Linked DNA regions of Diceros bicornis minor. The protein of the gene in region 1 interacts with the protein of each later gene in a biochemical or structural test. Links are inferred from orthologs where the notes say so. Each region holds a gene or a part of one and is shown in the gene's direction. Other genes may lie near its edges.

The links.
Region 2: the proteins of RARA (region 1) and NRIP1 form a complex in vitro, tested with the Homo sapiens proteins (4 studies listed by BioGRID). The link is inferred for Diceros bicornis minor from reciprocal best matches to the Homo sapiens genes RARA and NRIP1.

The regions. Positions count from the first base shown.
Region 1 is NC_080757.1:39,814,629-39,822,701, forward strand, and holds the start of RARA (retinoic acid receptor alpha), read left to right. Parts: upstream 1-4,478; 5' UTR 4,479-4,582; intron 4,583-8,073. UniProt on the Homo sapiens protein: Receptor for retinoic acid. Retinoic acid receptors bind as heterodimers to their target response elements in response to their ligands, all-trans or 9-cis retinoic acid, and regulate gene expression in various biological processes.
Region 2 is NC_080766.1:17,395,092-17,402,972, reverse strand, and holds the start of NRIP1 (nuclear receptor-interacting protein 1), read left to right. Parts: upstream 1-4,562; 5' UTR 4,563-4,860; intron 4,861-5,401; exon of another isoform or gene 5,402-5,673; intron 5,674-5,691; exon of another isoform or gene 5,692-6,339; intron 6,340-7,881. UniProt on the Homo sapiens protein: Modulates transcriptional activation by steroid receptors such as NR3C1, NR3C2 and ESR1. Also modulates transcriptional repression by nuclear hormone receptors.

The DNA.
Region 1 (8,073 bases):
CTCTTCTGACTCCTTCTACCTTTCTGATATGGACTTGAGTTTGGGAACTTGATATGTGTACAAACGATCTGTTGGCCACTGTTTCATTCATGCTGCCCACTGTATCCTTGCAATGTGATCTGGGCTACAGCAGGTGGTATGGGATAGAAGAAGGGCACACAGAACCCTCTGAAATGCACACTAGCCACTGGTGTATGTAGCAGAGCATAGTCTGTAGACAGGAGTCTGAATGTCATACTCCCCCTCACACTCCTTTATTAGAGCATTCATTCCCTCTGAAGGTAATTTGCAAGTGGAAAACAGTTCTATACCTAGAAGCTTGGAAAGTGTCTGGGGCTATAAGGGTTAACAAGCATAATTGCAAAGATTGTCCGAAGGCTGATGGAAAGCAGAGACTGAATGGGATTGAGAACAGATGCGAGGCTTGATTTAAATTACATTTTATTGGATGCTGCAGCCTTAAGAGACGTGACTGCTTTACAGTTTGTTTCCACACTGTGGGCAGCTGCTGTCTGTTCTGTGTCCACAGTAGGATCCTGCCCAAAAAGGAGCGGCCTCCCCACCTCGTTGTGTTTGAGGCTTGGCGCCTTCCTCTTAACTTTAGGGCTTGAGTCAGGAACATGGCTTGACTCGCAGTGGGGCTGCTATGTATCCTCCATGGCTCTGAGCCAAGATTGCATTTGCAGATCCAAGGGGCCAAATTTTTTTCCCCTCTACCTCCCTTCTCTCCCTTTCCCCGGGTATTTGGAAATAGGGTTTTCTGTGTACTGGTTTGTCAGTTTCCTTTCCTTCAGTTCTCTCCCCACCGTCAATTTCTAGGTCATTGCTGCTCTTAAGACTTCAGCAATTGGAACAGGGTTGGTTCTGTCAATGATGCGTGAAGCAGACTTAGAGTCCCTGCTTGGCTTCCGCTGCCCTTGTGGGAGCAAAAGCTGATGTATGTTTGTCAGTGAAGTCTTAAGTGTAATTCAAACAGCCGAGGAGCAGATTGAGGGGAGGAAGAAAATCCTTTTCTTGCTGAAGCTGAGAGCTATGGGAAGGTGCTGGGATTTTTAGTGGGATGGGATGGGTTTGTGGTTACTAGTTTTTGCCAGGATCATAGGCTGTTTCACATAGAGTAGTGGCAAAAGATGCTGACCTACATTCTTCCTTTTGAAGGTGGTGGGGTGTGTGTCTATATCCTGGTTTATTTATTTTTCTTCAGAGAAGCAGATTAAGCTTCCATAGAGCGTTGGTGGGTATTGCCATGGAAAGAACATAGACACAATAAAATTGGTGTGAGTTTCAACCCCAGAGCTACCGCTGACATTTCTGGCTCAATGAAGACTTGCCTGTGGCTAGATAACTGGCAAGAGTGTGTGAGGTCCAAGCTACCCAGAGATCAAAAAATGTTGGCAGAGCTCTGTTCTCTCTTCCCCACTTTGGTCCCTGCCTTTATTAAGTGCCCTTTTAAGATACACCAATAAGAACTGGGAAGTAGGAATGAGACACGACTTGGAGATTTTTAAAAATATGTTTTGAGAGGTGTTACCTTGACTGTGGAGGAAGACCAAAAGAGAGAGCCAAGATTGAGATTTTATTTACATTTGTGTCTGTCTCCAGCACTTAGTGCAGAGCCCAGTACCTGGTAGGTATTCAGTAAGCAATTGTTGAATGAACAGAAATGAACCAAGTTGCTGCCGTTCCTTCCGTCTTGAGGACAGTTCTGATCTGGAGGTAAACATGGCTGATGCTTTTGCACTGACGTAGAACAGGCCCCTGTAAAAGAAGGGTGCTCCATCTTACAAAATGTGGAGGATTTATTGGCCTCACATATGCGTTCCAATCGCTCCCTCTGATGTAGTGGTATTTTGCTTAAGGCAACTTCCATGTTGCTCCCAGGAAGCCTTGCCTATGGGGAGAGTCCTACCTACCAGGTGGGAGGAGGGGTACCTGTCTGGATGTTACCTATGTCCCTAGAGATTGGCCAGAAGCTGTGCCTCTAGGTGGCAAGGGATTAAGAAGGAACCCACCTTTGATGTCCCACATTTTCACTTTTGGGGAAAGTTGTAATCTTGGGTTCCTCCTAAAAAGATAAGGTGCTCTCTAAGACATTCTCTTTTAAGCTACCGACAGAGGCAGGTCTCCCTCTTCTCAGAAGAAAGGCTTCTGTAGGGGAGAAGGCGTGACCTCTGGCCTCTTCTTCATTTTTAACCCCAACCCCAAGGTACTGGCAGTAGAAGCTAACTGGGTGCAAGGGGCCTGGGTAAAGGCTGTCTGAAGACTGGCGAAAGGAGAGAGCCAGCTCCTTTTTTAAAAAGCTCTAATTGAGTTCTGAATCAGCCTCACTCCCTTTGATCCCTCCTCTGTTTCCCACACTGCCTGAAACAGCTAGATCAGCATTTTATAACAAGGGTGCGCCTGCTCCCCGCACCCGCCCCCCCTCCTGACGCTCTCTGCTGCCGCCATCCACTGCTTGTCTCCTTCAGTTAAGATAATGAAGATGCTGAGAGATAAAATGTGTATTTAATAAGGGTGGGGGTAGGGAGGCAGAAAGGGGCAGCCAGGGCCTTCCCTAGTTTGGGGCCTAGCCAAGACTCAAGCTGAAAGCAAAGCTAGAGTAAAACTTGGCCAAAGGGTGTGGGGGTTTCTGGGCCTCAATCCAGCTGACTTCACTGCCTGCTGTTTGCCCTAAATTCCCCCACCTCCAGCCTCTCACCCCCACACTCCTTTCTTTCCTCTCTTCATCCTCCCAGTGGGAAAAGGGAGACTTGCTTCAACTTTATTTTCAGCTGGTAACTTGGCCTTTGGTGCAGCACCCCCCAACCCAGAGTCAGTTGCAAGGTCAGCTAGGGCAGCCCCCACTGGCCTAGGGCTGTAGAAGCTGTGGGTTCACAGTGGGGGGTGAAAAAAGCTAGAGTTAATGAAGACCAGCTGTTAGTCTGGGTTCTGCCTACAGTTAGCTGGAGACCAGCCGTTGGTTGTTGGAGGTACGAGGGTACGTGACCTCCATCCCTGGGCACAAGGATATCCTGTGGCAGCTGAGGATTGTGCTGCTCTGAGCTTGGTTGTATCCTTAGTTTGTAAGAGAGTAGTCTGTTTCCCTCTTTCCTTGCTCCTCCCTTCCCCAAATAACACTCAGCCCTTATTGAGCTTTATAACTGTAGTGGTGGCTCAGCTGAGATCTGAGGATCTCCAAGCTCTTGTAAACACTCATTAACTGCCTGGGAAGAACCAAGAGCCCGGTGTAACAGCTGGGAGGGAACTGAGGCACATTAGGGTGAAAGGCTTGACCTGAGCTCATCCCATGGACTCCACCCTGAGGCCCTTGTCCTTCTGTACTATCTAGCTTCTTTCCCCATTTTTCTTGCAAGACAGAGAAGAAGGTGGAGGCAATGCTACTGCCCTCTCCCCTTCTAGGAAGAGGCCATGCTTTCTCCCTTCCCTCAAGTCTGTCCCTGACTTCCCCTGGCCCTTTACCCCATGACGTTTTCCCTGCTCTGCTGCTGCGGGAGATATGTGCAACTCTCCTTGCAAAATGTTCTCAATCCAGCCCCCTGCAGCCTTCCTATCCACCTTTCCCTGGCCCACCTGGCCCACCAAACCTGAGTTCTCCCTTTGGAGCTACTGAGAAGATCGGCTATCCTAAACTGGCTCTGTAACCTTGAAGTTGATCTAAGTGTGTTAAGAGGCCCCTCTGCCCCCTATATTTATCCCAAATGGTACCTGGGAAAACATTCTCTTTAGATTGTTCATCCTGGTAAAGTTTCAGGATGGGCTGAGTAGGGCCACTAGTTGACCCCTAGATTCTGCACCTCGTTCTTCCACTGACAATTGCCATTTCTGGTAATGGATGGAGCTCAGTCACCCAGCCCCACCTGCTCACACTCTCACTGTATATGCATAATCTGCATACCTCAACACTCCCAGATACACCTCAGCCTAAGGGTATAAAACAGCAGTTTCCAACTGCCATCCAAATTATACTGCCCTTTTTACTTACTGGAAATCAAGGGGTGGCCTTCTTGGCATTTAGGAATAGTGGGGAGGGATGAGGAGACTGCTACATCTACGAGGGATAGGGTAGAAATGAGCACCCTTCCAAAATGAATGCCCCCTTCCCCAAATTCTCCATAGCTAAGTGGCTTAGCTGGAGTGATAGGGAAAGAGATCTTAACCCCATCTTCAGCACCAAAGCCCAAATCCATCTGCTTGGGGCAGGCAGGAAGAAATGTCTTTTTTCTCCTGTACTGTATTATCCTATCCTCAGCTAAAGTCATCCATGTGCTGTGTATTTGAGATTGGGGACTGTTCCTGTCTCCAGCCCATGACTCAGATTTTCTCTCAGTCTTTCTCCCAGTGAATTCTTTCTCTCCCATCAGTCCTCAGCTCTGCACCCGATGACCCAGTCGGGGCTGGTGGAAGAGGGCGGGGAGAGCTTACTGTGTGGTGACTGGGCTTTAGGACCCAACGGGAACCTGAGCCTCTTGCAGCAGCCTAACCCAGAAGCAGAGGGGAATCCTGAATCGAGCTGAGAGGGCTTCCCCGGTTCTCCTGGGAACCCCATTGCCCTCATGCCAGCACGCACCTGGCAGGACCACAGGTAGGACCACACACACCCCTTCCCAATTCTCCCTCGGCTGCTTGCCGCCGGGCCTCTTCGCTTCCGATCTGGTCGTTTCCCTCTCGCCAGTTGAGGCTTTCCCCGTCCCTCCTCCCCCACCGCTCACTGTAGTCCTGGGAGGTGGGAGCCTGGGAACAGTGGGGTGTCTGAAACTCAGAGCCCCTGCACCCTCCAGCGCCTTTCCTGCACTTCCCCCGAGGCATTCCCTGTTCTCTGGCTAAGAATAGAAAGTGAGGGGAAGGTCTGCTCAGGCCTCACGCCCTTGCACCCTCCTTTGCAGTATTGCCTAATACCCCTTCCCCCACCTCACCTCGACAGGAGAATTGGCAGTGCTGGGGTAATAGAGAACAGAGGGAGCAGGAGAGGGACCTGAGCCCCCCTGGGGGATTTCTCTCTTGCTTCCTCTCTGCCTCCCAAGCCCAAGAACTCAGGACTTCACCCCCTCCTCCCTACTCACCTTGTAGGGGAACTAACGTCCCTTTCCAGGCTCATCTCACACTTGGGTGGCCAAAGCCTTTGCTGGAGAATGGTGGAGGTTGTGAGCGGTTTTTGGTGACCTTTTCCTCTGGGGAAAGTTCTTTCAGCTTAGAGCCCCCATCCCTGCCAACACCTCAACGCCTGTAGGAAAGTCCTCCACCTGCCCCCCCACCCCCTGTGTGTTTGTGTGTGTGTGTGTGTTTGTGTGTGTGTGTGTGTGTGTGTACCATATACTTGTAAGATCTATAAGCTTTGGATAGAGGTGGCTGCGTGCATTGAAGGGGAGAGATCCCAGAGTCTGGCCAAGGCCAGAACAGGCTCAGCCCAGATGGCTGGGAATGGGGGTGTGGACCACATCCAGAAGGCCACCCAGCCATGCCAGCAACCTGGGCTCCTCGGCTTTCAGAGCCTCAGGCTCATGGTGTTACCCTGAAGCTTCTGCCCTCCTGCAGGCTCTCGGGGAGAGGGCTGGATGGCACCTACTGTTTACAGTGGCTTGTTTCTCTCTCCAGCGGGGGACTGACAAGCCCTGCTCTCTGAAGATCTAGGGCACCTCATTATGGTTTGGTGGGTTTGCAGGATTAGTGTATGAGTAACTCTGTGTGTGAGTGTGTATATTGCCTCTGGGTGTAGCGGACTGGGGAGGGGAGTGATAGAAGAGACTGGAAACACTTTGGGGGAACCCCTTTAGCTCTCTGTGTGTTGGAGGTGGGTGCCATGTCCCTATCTGGTAACTCTGTCTAGGTGTGGGGTTGGTTTGGAGGAAAGGGTGGAGATTGGAGTAATTTCAGACTTAGTTCTGCTCTTGACCCAGGGAGAAAAGTAGAGATTCTGAGTGCAAGCAGTGGACTGAGAATCAGAGGCCTGAATTTGAGACTCAGCCCTGTCATTTAACTATGTGCATTTATACAGGTCTCTAAGCCTCTGTTTCTTTACTTGTAAAAATGATGATCAGTAACAAGCCCCGCTTGCCTGGTAGAGATAATGCTATCAAGATGCCTTAAGACAGTATATTGTAAAGCCCAGTGCAAATGGTAGTTATGGCTGGAGTGCAGAGGGTGGGGAGGGTTCTAGGATGGGATTCTCTTCCTAAATCTAGGTCAGTCTCTCTGCCTTCAGTTTCCTTCCCCCATCCTTGCCCATCTGGGGAATGGAGGAACCAGGCAGGGCTGTTGCCCCAGGGTTCTGCAGAATTCCCCTAATGCCAGTTGTAGCTGATGCCAGAGCGCCTGTGGTCAGAGAGGACAGATCTCTCTACCAGGCTTTTCTTCCTCTGGGGCTCCACACCTTCTCCCCCAAGCCCTGTCTCCACCTTCCTTCTGCCATTCCTGCTCCACGTCCTTGTCCCTGTCTCTCCCCTGCCCAGTGGCCTCCTTGTCCGGCTCACTGGGCAGGAGCCCTAATCGGATTCGACAGCTGAGATGTGTGTGGCGGCTGAGAGCAGGCGGGAGGGAAGCCAGTGGGAGGATGGTATGAGGGCTGCCCCTGGCACTGCCCAGGCCTCCCAGGCACCACCTTGGGCCTGCTGACTCCCGGTTTGGCTTGGCCCTGGGGAAGGGGTGCCAGAAGAAGCTCAGGAATGAAGGGGCTGGGGTCTGAAGATTAGGGGAGTGGGAAACACACCCAGGACCCCAGGACCTCTTGGATATTTGGTGGCCTTAATGTCAGTATCTCTGACTCTGACAGGGAGGAGAGGACAGCAGGTGAGAGCCAGGCTACCCCCCCTGCCCCCCCCCCCCCCCCCCGCCATCCCCATGGCACCACTTTCTTCTCTCTTCTTATTCAGAAATGTGTTCCCTTTCCCCATCCAGCCCCTTTGGCCAGTTCTCCTTATGGGGCTCGTCTGGGAGCTGCTAGGGGCACCATGTGTCTACCTCACTTGGGCTGTTTCCTCCCCTCCAAGGTATTTCTCTCACTCACTCTCTGGGCTGGGTGCCAGGACTCCTGGGTTTCCTGCCTGCCTCATGGTGCAGGGCTGCCCTGCAGGCCTCCAGAGAGTCGCTAAGCTGGTTTCCTTCCTCCTGTATGAGGAGGGCCTTCTCCCAGGGCTGGGAGGTGTCAGGAATCCCAGGTGGGATAAGGGTGGGTGCACTGTAGCCCCTGGCACCATAGCACCCTGATCCTTCCCTCCTAGCCTCTGACTCAGCTTGGAGGCAGCACATGCCCAGCCTGGCAGGCATGGCCTGTTCTCACCTTCAGGCTTCCATCTTTACATGTGGAAGCCAAGATTTTCTGCTATCCTTTTTAGCTTTTTCCCCATGGTATCTGGGGGTGGCTCTCAAAATCCCTATGTCTGCACCCACACATTTTGGGGAGCAGGGGATTAGCATAATTAAAGCTGGGGCACTATTTTGTCTTCCCTCCAGCTGGGCCAGGGTGAAGGAAACCAGCACAAACTTCCCCGTGCCAATTCTCTCTGCCCTCAAAAGACCAGCCCGTGGAGCCAGGCCCTGCCCTCTCGGTGCCCACAATGTGGTTGGCACTGATTTGTCAGAAATTGGAAAGGTTTCCCTCTAGACCGCTTGCCTCCTCTCTCCTCCTCTTGCGGGGTAGGGACAGCTCTGTGATTGTAGGCACTTATGGGCAGGCCTCCCCCTAGGGAAGGGGTGTGGGATGCCCCTGAGATGGCCAAGTTGGCACTAGCTCCAGGCTAGAGTGCTAGACATGGTTCTGAGCTGGGAATTTGTGGGGGAGAGCAGGACATGGGCTCCCTGCCCCCTCATTTCCTGCTCTTTGGGCAGCTGTGGGCGAGAAAGTCTGCAGGGACTATTTTTAGTTAGTCTGTCCCCTGGCAGGAGGGACGTGCAGAAAAGCACGGGCAGGCAGAGGGGCTGGCCAAGGTGAGGGTAAGCAAGCAGGCAGGGAGTCCTGGGGACCCCTCAGGGCTCTCTCTGTCCAAGCAGACTTAAAACCAGAAGGGGCTTGAGAGGCCATGTAGATAATCCCTCTCCCCTACAGAGAGGGAAACGAAGGCCTAGAGAGGGGACGTGACT
Region 2 (7,881 bases), on another chromosome or scaffold:
CTCTTCCATGTGGATAATCAATTGCCCCAGCACCATTTGCTGAAAAGACTATTTTTTCCCCATTGAATTGTGTGAAATCTTAGGAGTATGTATGTGTGAGTGTGTGTGTGTGTGTGTATTTGAGGGTGAAGGTAATTTTAGTTCGGTTTTGTGAAAAGATAAAGTATATAAGAATTTTATGTTTCTTAAACTAAACAAATATAAAACAGATATGTCAGGGTCAGAGTCTATGTCTATTTCTTTTGAGGTTCAAACAATTGCACAAATGGTAAACATACATCATGTTTTCTTTATAGCTTACTTCCCTACAGAACCCTGAATAATTTGGAAAAACAGATATATGCTTTGCTTTAGTTGAAGGTTATCTGAATAAAATCTCTAAAAATTAATAGGATCATATTTTATCCAATTGATTTCTTATAGGGGTGTATGCTTGTGAAATCACAAAAAGAAATTTTATATTCATTTATGAAAGGACTGCTTAGTGAGAGCCACATAACCCATTTCTACATAAAAGGATAGGATTCCATGTAATATTTACTTTCAATTGTATAGACATATTAAACTGACCCATCACCAAACTGACAGGTTCTCCTTAGCCTCGTTGGGATTTCTTGGCTTTTTGGACCCCCTAACTATACTGGACATTTCTTTCTTTGGGGAATGAGAAGGCATCGTCCACATTTGCATTTCACTGAAGTATTGCCTTTTTCTTGCACACTTTCAGCTGTGTGTATGCAATCATTTTCAGACTTTTTCTTTAAGATCCAGTTTTCAGGATTCATTTTAGTGTAGCAATTGAGTGCCCTGGTTTTGTCAGTCCTTGGCACTCAAGCCCCATTGAAAGTAAAAGGGCTCCAATCTCATTAGGGAAAACTGCACAGTAACCGGCAGACACGGTGTCTAAACATCTTCATTTTAGCTCTTGAGACCTTCCTCAGTACTCAGGGAGCTGCAGCACATCCTTATCACTGCAGCTTCAGGCAGGTACTGCCTCAAACAAAGGCTGGGGTGGATTTTATAGTCCACAAGTAACTGGGCATGGAAGAATTGAAGAGCAAAACCCTGGGCTGCTAGAGCCAGGAAGAAGCTTGACAGTAACTAGCATAGAGGTAGTTCGGTGTTCCAGGGAAGACTTTCTTGAAGCTTATTCAACTCCAAATTTATAGTGTTGTATTTCCGCCATAAAGCCGGTTTATGTTTACAGTCCACCACCAGAGTTAATAGAGATAGGAGTAGCTGTAACTACAGTGTGGTTAATGAAGACACAGTACATAAAATGTAAACTTTGCTGATTCTCTAATTGGCATAAAAGCCGAGACACAAGAAAGTGGTCTATATCAACATAGTATAGCTAAACACAAGTAATCAACACAAATAAAATCTTAAATTTAACAAGATTTAGATTTTCAATGTAAGAAAATCTCCTTTAACTATACTATAAAAGATTTCGTCTGTCCTCTTGAGCTGTGCTGTCCAATATGGCAGCCATTAGCCACACGTGGGCATTGAGCATCTGAATTTGACTAGTCCAGATCTATGTGCAATGAGTGTAAAACCACACTGAAGTTTGAAAACTTAGTGTGAATAAAAGAATGTAAAATATCTAATAAATAATTTTTATGTTATGTACACATTGAAATGATAACATTTTGATATATTGGGTTAAAGAAAGTATATTATAACAATTAATTTTACCCGTTTCTTTTTATTTTTTAAATGTGGCTACTAGAAAATTTAAAAGCACATATGTAGCTCACGTTTGTGGCTCGCTTTATATATTTTTATTGGACAGCACTTCTCTCGAGACTAAGGGACTGTAACAGCATAACTACACTGGTGTTCCACCTGAATATATTTTTGTCAGCTGTCGTAATTCATTAGTCACTAGTTCATAGTGTATAATGTGGGTTTGATACTTCTCAATGTACATTTTTGTTTTCTTCACACCTCTTTACTGCTAAACAGTCTTTTTCCTTCCATTAGAACTCCATTCCCACTTTGCCTACTTGGCAAATTCTTCTTACCTTTTAATAGCCAGCTGAGACATTATTTTCCCTGTAAAATTTTCTCTGAACTCCCTCATCCCACACCCACACCCTAAGTAGAAATAAACACTCTGTCCTCTGCGCTATGACAGTATCTTGCCTGATATCCTCCAAATGCCTACTGTTTGCTGAGCACAGGGGTAGGCGGTGGAGGTACCCAAATGCAAACCAGAGGGACATGGATTCTGTGTCTGTAGTGCTTGCATTTAGAGTGGGATACAGACAAGTAAACACCCAGTGGAAAAATGCTATAATGGGAGAGATTCAGGGAGCACACCATAAGCATACCTTTCTCAGACTACATCTTTGTGGTGGATAAACATATTGAGCCTGAACTATAAGTCTCTGATCCCATAGGGACTCTGGCTTTATAAAAATACTTTCGTTTAACTTTATAACCTGAAGGGCATCTTTTTTCGCATCACAATTGGTTAAAGCGGGAGTTGTGTACAAAATACAAATTACTTAATAGGCATTCTTATATTACATACATGCCCCAGTATCCTTGCAATGACTCTCTTAGCCAGGAAGTTTAGGTATTGATTTTTTAAAAACAATGAACAACAACAAAATAGCCCCAACACAATTAGCATCATTAAGTAAAAATGAATTCTACAAAAGGTGTGCAATTTACTCAACACTAATGCACTATCAAAAAGAGTTCAGGATTTTAACAATTGGCTTTCCGTGGGGTTGAGAAGATAGATTAATAATAAGAGGTGAGCAGCTTTGTTAAGTCATCTAACATACGGCAGTGGACTTGTTAACACTAGTGTTGGAGAGTAGGACCAATACTCAGCTTGCTGGGTTAACTGTGTACCTCACTTTTCAGGAGGTTATCTATCAACCTCAATGATCCAAACCCAGTTAAGAAGTAAAAAGAATGCTTTTCAAAGCAACATTTGAGTAGTCCAAATATCGGTCCCAAAATCTATGCATTAAGGTTCATGTGCCTTACTCCTTGGTGAGCACATCAATCCCTTACATTAGACTGAATTGTGACAAGTGAGGCTATCTGGATTCCCATTCCCAGTCTGCACCAGACTAGAAGCTGCCAATCAGAGGAGGAGGAGAATATTAGAAGCAAGCAAGCTGGCAACAGAGGAAGGACAACAGATTGTCAGCTAGTGAAGGGGGAGAGAGAGAAACTACAAAAGGCAGAGATAATCACTAAGCCATAGTATCCTGGAATCCATCAGTGCAGCAATTGATGGCTTATATACCTCCTGGGCGCGTCCCTAACACCTAGGAAGAAGCCTGATAGAGAACAGGAAGTCGATGCATTTGTTGAATCCACTACAACCTACAACAACAAATACTTTTAATAAAATTAACCCTGACTTTTCAAGAAAAAGCCAAACGAAGTCCAATAAACTACTTAAGAAAACAGAAACATGTATAATACATTTTAGAAAATCTTCATGTAACAGTCAAAAATAGTTTTTTAAAAAAGAAGTTTGACTGCGTAAAGGGCCATACTCCAATTATGCTGATCATCACCTAACTGGAACAGTTCTCTCATTTATCCAATATTGGATAAATGATGCAATATAGAACAGCAGACTTTACTAAGTTGCCTTAAGCAGATTTCAAACTGTGGTATATGCAAATAATAAGCCATCGCATGAAGTTTAAACTATATAAGATGGCAACAGATCACACAGTTGAATTACTAGGGTGATGTAAAATAATTGTTCTAAAATGCACCATCATCATTAAGCAAAATATTCCTACCATGTGCCCAGGACTGTGCTAGGTGCTAGATTTATTAAGCATTAATTTGAAAAAAGGCTTTCACTTTTAAGACTATGAAGGTATTCCAAAACTCTCCTTCATATTTTTAAAGGTTAAACGAAATTTTAAGTGCACAAGATAGCCATTACATAACAAGCATAGAATACTGTTTTATGACTTGGATAGGTTTTTTTTTTTTTTTTTTAAGTGCACTAGCAACTCTATTTTCAAATGCTATCGAATTCTTAAGGCTATGAAAACCTACATATAAGAATGGAGTGCCTCATCCACTCATTTGTTTTGTGTAATAAGTGTTTTAACACAGGCATACCATTTCGGAGTTTAGGGTGAGGCTAAGCTGTACTTGAGCATTCTCATATCGAGCAAAAACAATTTCAGCAACGGCACTCATTTCCCCTGGTAATTTTTTCATGGCGAGTTACTAAACGCTAGACGCTGGAGTCAAAAAGAAACCTGACATCTGGGGAGGTGTTGAAGGGGTGTTAATAGTTCTAGTTAGATGTTTGGGCAGCGTTGAGGATAAGATTTTAAAACAGCAAATACAAAGAGAAGGGGGAAATTCTTTTTCGTCTGACTCTCTCCTCCCTCCACTCTCTTGCTTCACCAATCCATGTCCCCCCCAATTAAGACGCGGGTTCAGCGAGATTCGGCTGCAGGAAACCGAGAGGCTCCACAGCGCTGCCTCCCTGGCCTCGTGATGTAATTGTTATTTCTTATCTGGAGACTGAACTGAAGAGAGCTGCCGAAGAAGTGGCAGCCCTGTTCTTTTTGCCTCGTCTTGTAGGGTCAAATTCTTCCCAGGGATGATGTAGATTCGCTGACAGACTCCGCTGGTGACTTCGCAGTGACAAAGCAGCTGACGATAAACCCTGCTCCTGGGTCCTACGTCCGTCCAAGGAGCTGCCCCGGGCACTCCTCAGGTCTCCTGCCCAGTTTGCCTCTGGAGTCACTCCACATTCATTCCTGGGTGCCTACTACGTGCTGGGCGTGGAGTCAGAGTGACCTGAAGTTAGTGCCTGTGCCCCCCAGGATTAAAGCAGGACACACAGATCACAAGGTGGTGGAAATTGGGGGTGGGTGGGAGGGAGCCCAGGGGCGCGTGGTGTGGGGTGACATGGGAGGAGGGCAGCACCCAGGCGGGGACCCGGGGCGTCCCGGCCCCCAGGCTGTGTCCCCGAGAGGAGCCTTTGGCCCGTGTGGCCAGAACGATGCCCCGGGCCTCCGGGAGGAGCTGTCCAGGCGCTTCGGGGGCGGCTGGACAGAGCCGGAGCGGAGGGGGCCGGCTCGGGCGCGAGGGGCCCCCACCTCTCCCGGCCCACGCGATCCTCCGCTGCCCGGGGCCCGGCAGCCCCCGCCGGCCCTCCGGAGGGCGGGCAAGGAGGATAAGCACAAAACCGAGGGGACCGCTCAGCTCCCGCGAGCTGCCCGGCCCCGAGCGGCTGCCTGCGGCCCGGGTGACAATGGGCGGGAGGGGAAAAAAAGGGTTAAGAAACTTGGCTGAACAGCTGAATGGCGTGGAGCGGCGAGGGGAGGGACTGGGCCGCGGCGGCCTCGGCGGCGGAGGGAGGAGCGCGGCTGCGGGCAGGCGGCGAGCGAGGCGCTCAAAGTCAGCCTCGCAGACATTGCAGCAGAGCCCCGAACTCGGGAGGCGGCGGCGGCGGCGGAGGAGGCGGCGGCCGCGGCGGAGGGACGAGCCGGCCCCGCGCCCGCCCGCGCGCGCCCGCCCGTGGCCTTGCGTCCGCCGCTGCGCCCGGCAGCGCTGCTGCGCGCGGGGAGAGCCGGCCGGGGCGCCGAGGGAGGACGGGGCGGCGCGGCGCCTTCGCGGAGGGAGCCTCGCGGAGCCCGGGGCTCGGAGCCGCGGCGGCCTCGGGTGAGTGGCGGCCGCGGCCGGGGGGCTCCGGGGAGCGGCCGCGGCGGCGCCGCCGGAAACGGCCCGGAGCGCGGCCCGCGGCGGCGCTGGCGTTGGCGGGCAGGGCCGCGGGGGCGTCGGGGCGGCGGGAGCGATCGCGGACGGCGGGGTGGCCTCGGCGGCCGGGAGGAACCGTTTCCGGGGAGATCGCGCCTCTCCAGCCGGGGCCGAATCTCCCCGGGAACTCGGGGGCCCGGCCAGCGGGGCGGCCAAGTTGTGGAGTTAGCCGCGGGCTCACCGGCCCGTCCGTGCCGCCCCTGTGCCGAGCGGCGTGTCCCCTGAGCCGGCTGGGCACGGGTGGCCGGGCCGGGGGCGCGCCCCGCTCGGCTGCCCCTGGGCCCCGAGTCCCGGGCGCTGCTCGCCGCGCAGCTCTCGCTCCTGCTGCCCGGGGCGTCCTGGGCGGCGCCGGGCGCAGCTCCCCGCCTCTCGCCCGAGTGCCTCCCTGCGCCGTGCTCGCCGGACTCGGGGCCAGGAAAAGTGAATAGGGAAAGGGGCCGCGCTGCCCACCCCAGACCCCCAGGCCCGGGCCGTCGGTACTTGTCCTTCCCCTCCGAGGGCGAGGCTCCCAGGACCCGAGGCCTCAACCATCACTTTACCCCTGAGCCAGAAACCCGCCTCACGTTTCGGGTGAGTCCCGTGGAGGTCCTGGGAGGCTTCTTTTCTCTCCTCTTACTTCTGTATCCTTCTTACTATTAGTGGATATTGTTTTACGAAGGGTTTCCCTGGAAAGATTCTGCAAACCCTCCCATCCTTTCCAAAGTAGTTTCCAAATTTTAATCAAGAGTTGGTGTTCAGTCTGAAGGAACAAAGGAATCAACTGTGTCTTAGAGGCGAACAAGCTGGGAGTCCGTGACACATGTTGATCTCTGAAGCATTCCGGGAGTTTCTACCTTTTATCTCGTTGGTGATTTAATTGGGTGCTGAAGATAGTAAAAGACCAGCATGATGAGTACTTTTGCGTTTTTAAAAGGACATTTTATTTGGAAAAACAATTAAGACGTTCCTAGCTACAAGGACTTTTCACTCAGTTGGTGGAACTGAGGTGGAGTCTGTCTCTGGTAATGTAAATGATTAAATGTGAGATTGCGTGTGGGGGGGGACTGTCTTGAGAGGAAGAGAGACCGTCTGTAGTCTTCCAAAGTGAAAATGGTTGTCGGTTTATATATGATGAATGCTCTTTACGTTTCGGGGGGGAATTTGTGAAGCAAAGGGCTTTGGTAAATCATTCTTTAAATTTATGAATCGCATAGAACCTGCTTATTAGTGAATCATAGGTTTAGCAAGTGGGTGGCATCTTCCTGATGTAATTATTCAATGTTTAATCACCAGTTTGCCACCTTTGTTGAAGAGACACTGAAATAAGTGGACCTTTTAAAATAAACGGTGCTTCATCTGCCTGGCACCCAAGTGTGGGTTGCTGCCTTGAGCCTGTTGAAATGTTTTTCAACTTCGAAGTTAGTTGCTCTGGTTTTGCCCAGCGGTTTGGTCATGTCGAGTGGGTTTAACTGATTCAGAGAGTAGTGGCTTCATCAGGGATGGTAACTTCTCTCTGCCTGGAATTAGTTCCTAGAGACAAAGAAGAGTCAGTCAGTGGAACAGCTGCTACCCTACAGGCTGTAGGGTTGTTAGTCTGTTTCATACATTCTGGTGGGGAAAGACCTCTTTCCATACTTAGCCCTGAAAGTGCTCTAGGAGTGTGAGTAATAGATATATTTGGAAAAAAAAAAAAAAAGAAGACGACTGCTTATTGTTGGTTTTACTCAAAGGAGTTCTCTACAGTGCCTTTGAGGTCGTTGAAAACCAGGTTTAGTGCCTTTGGAAAGACTTGACTTAGTTGGACTCACTTCTTGCATGTGTCTGCAAACTGCAGAACTTGGATTTTACTAATGTAAACACCCTAAAATATTGTAAGTCCGCAATAAAGAAGTGTCTAAATGAGGCTAAAGGCTCTTCTGACTCTTGCAGTTTTAAGAGCAAAACATCATGATAAAAAATAACCTATACCACCACCTAGAGTCTGTTTGTTAGTTTATTGCTCCTGAAGTTTGCTTAAATTGACATGTCTCTTGCAGTTCTGATATAGCCAAAAAAATGATTAAAAAGTGCTAGCTTTCAAAAGGCCATCCAAGAGAACAATTATTTGTGTAATAAATAGCAAGTGCCAATTGA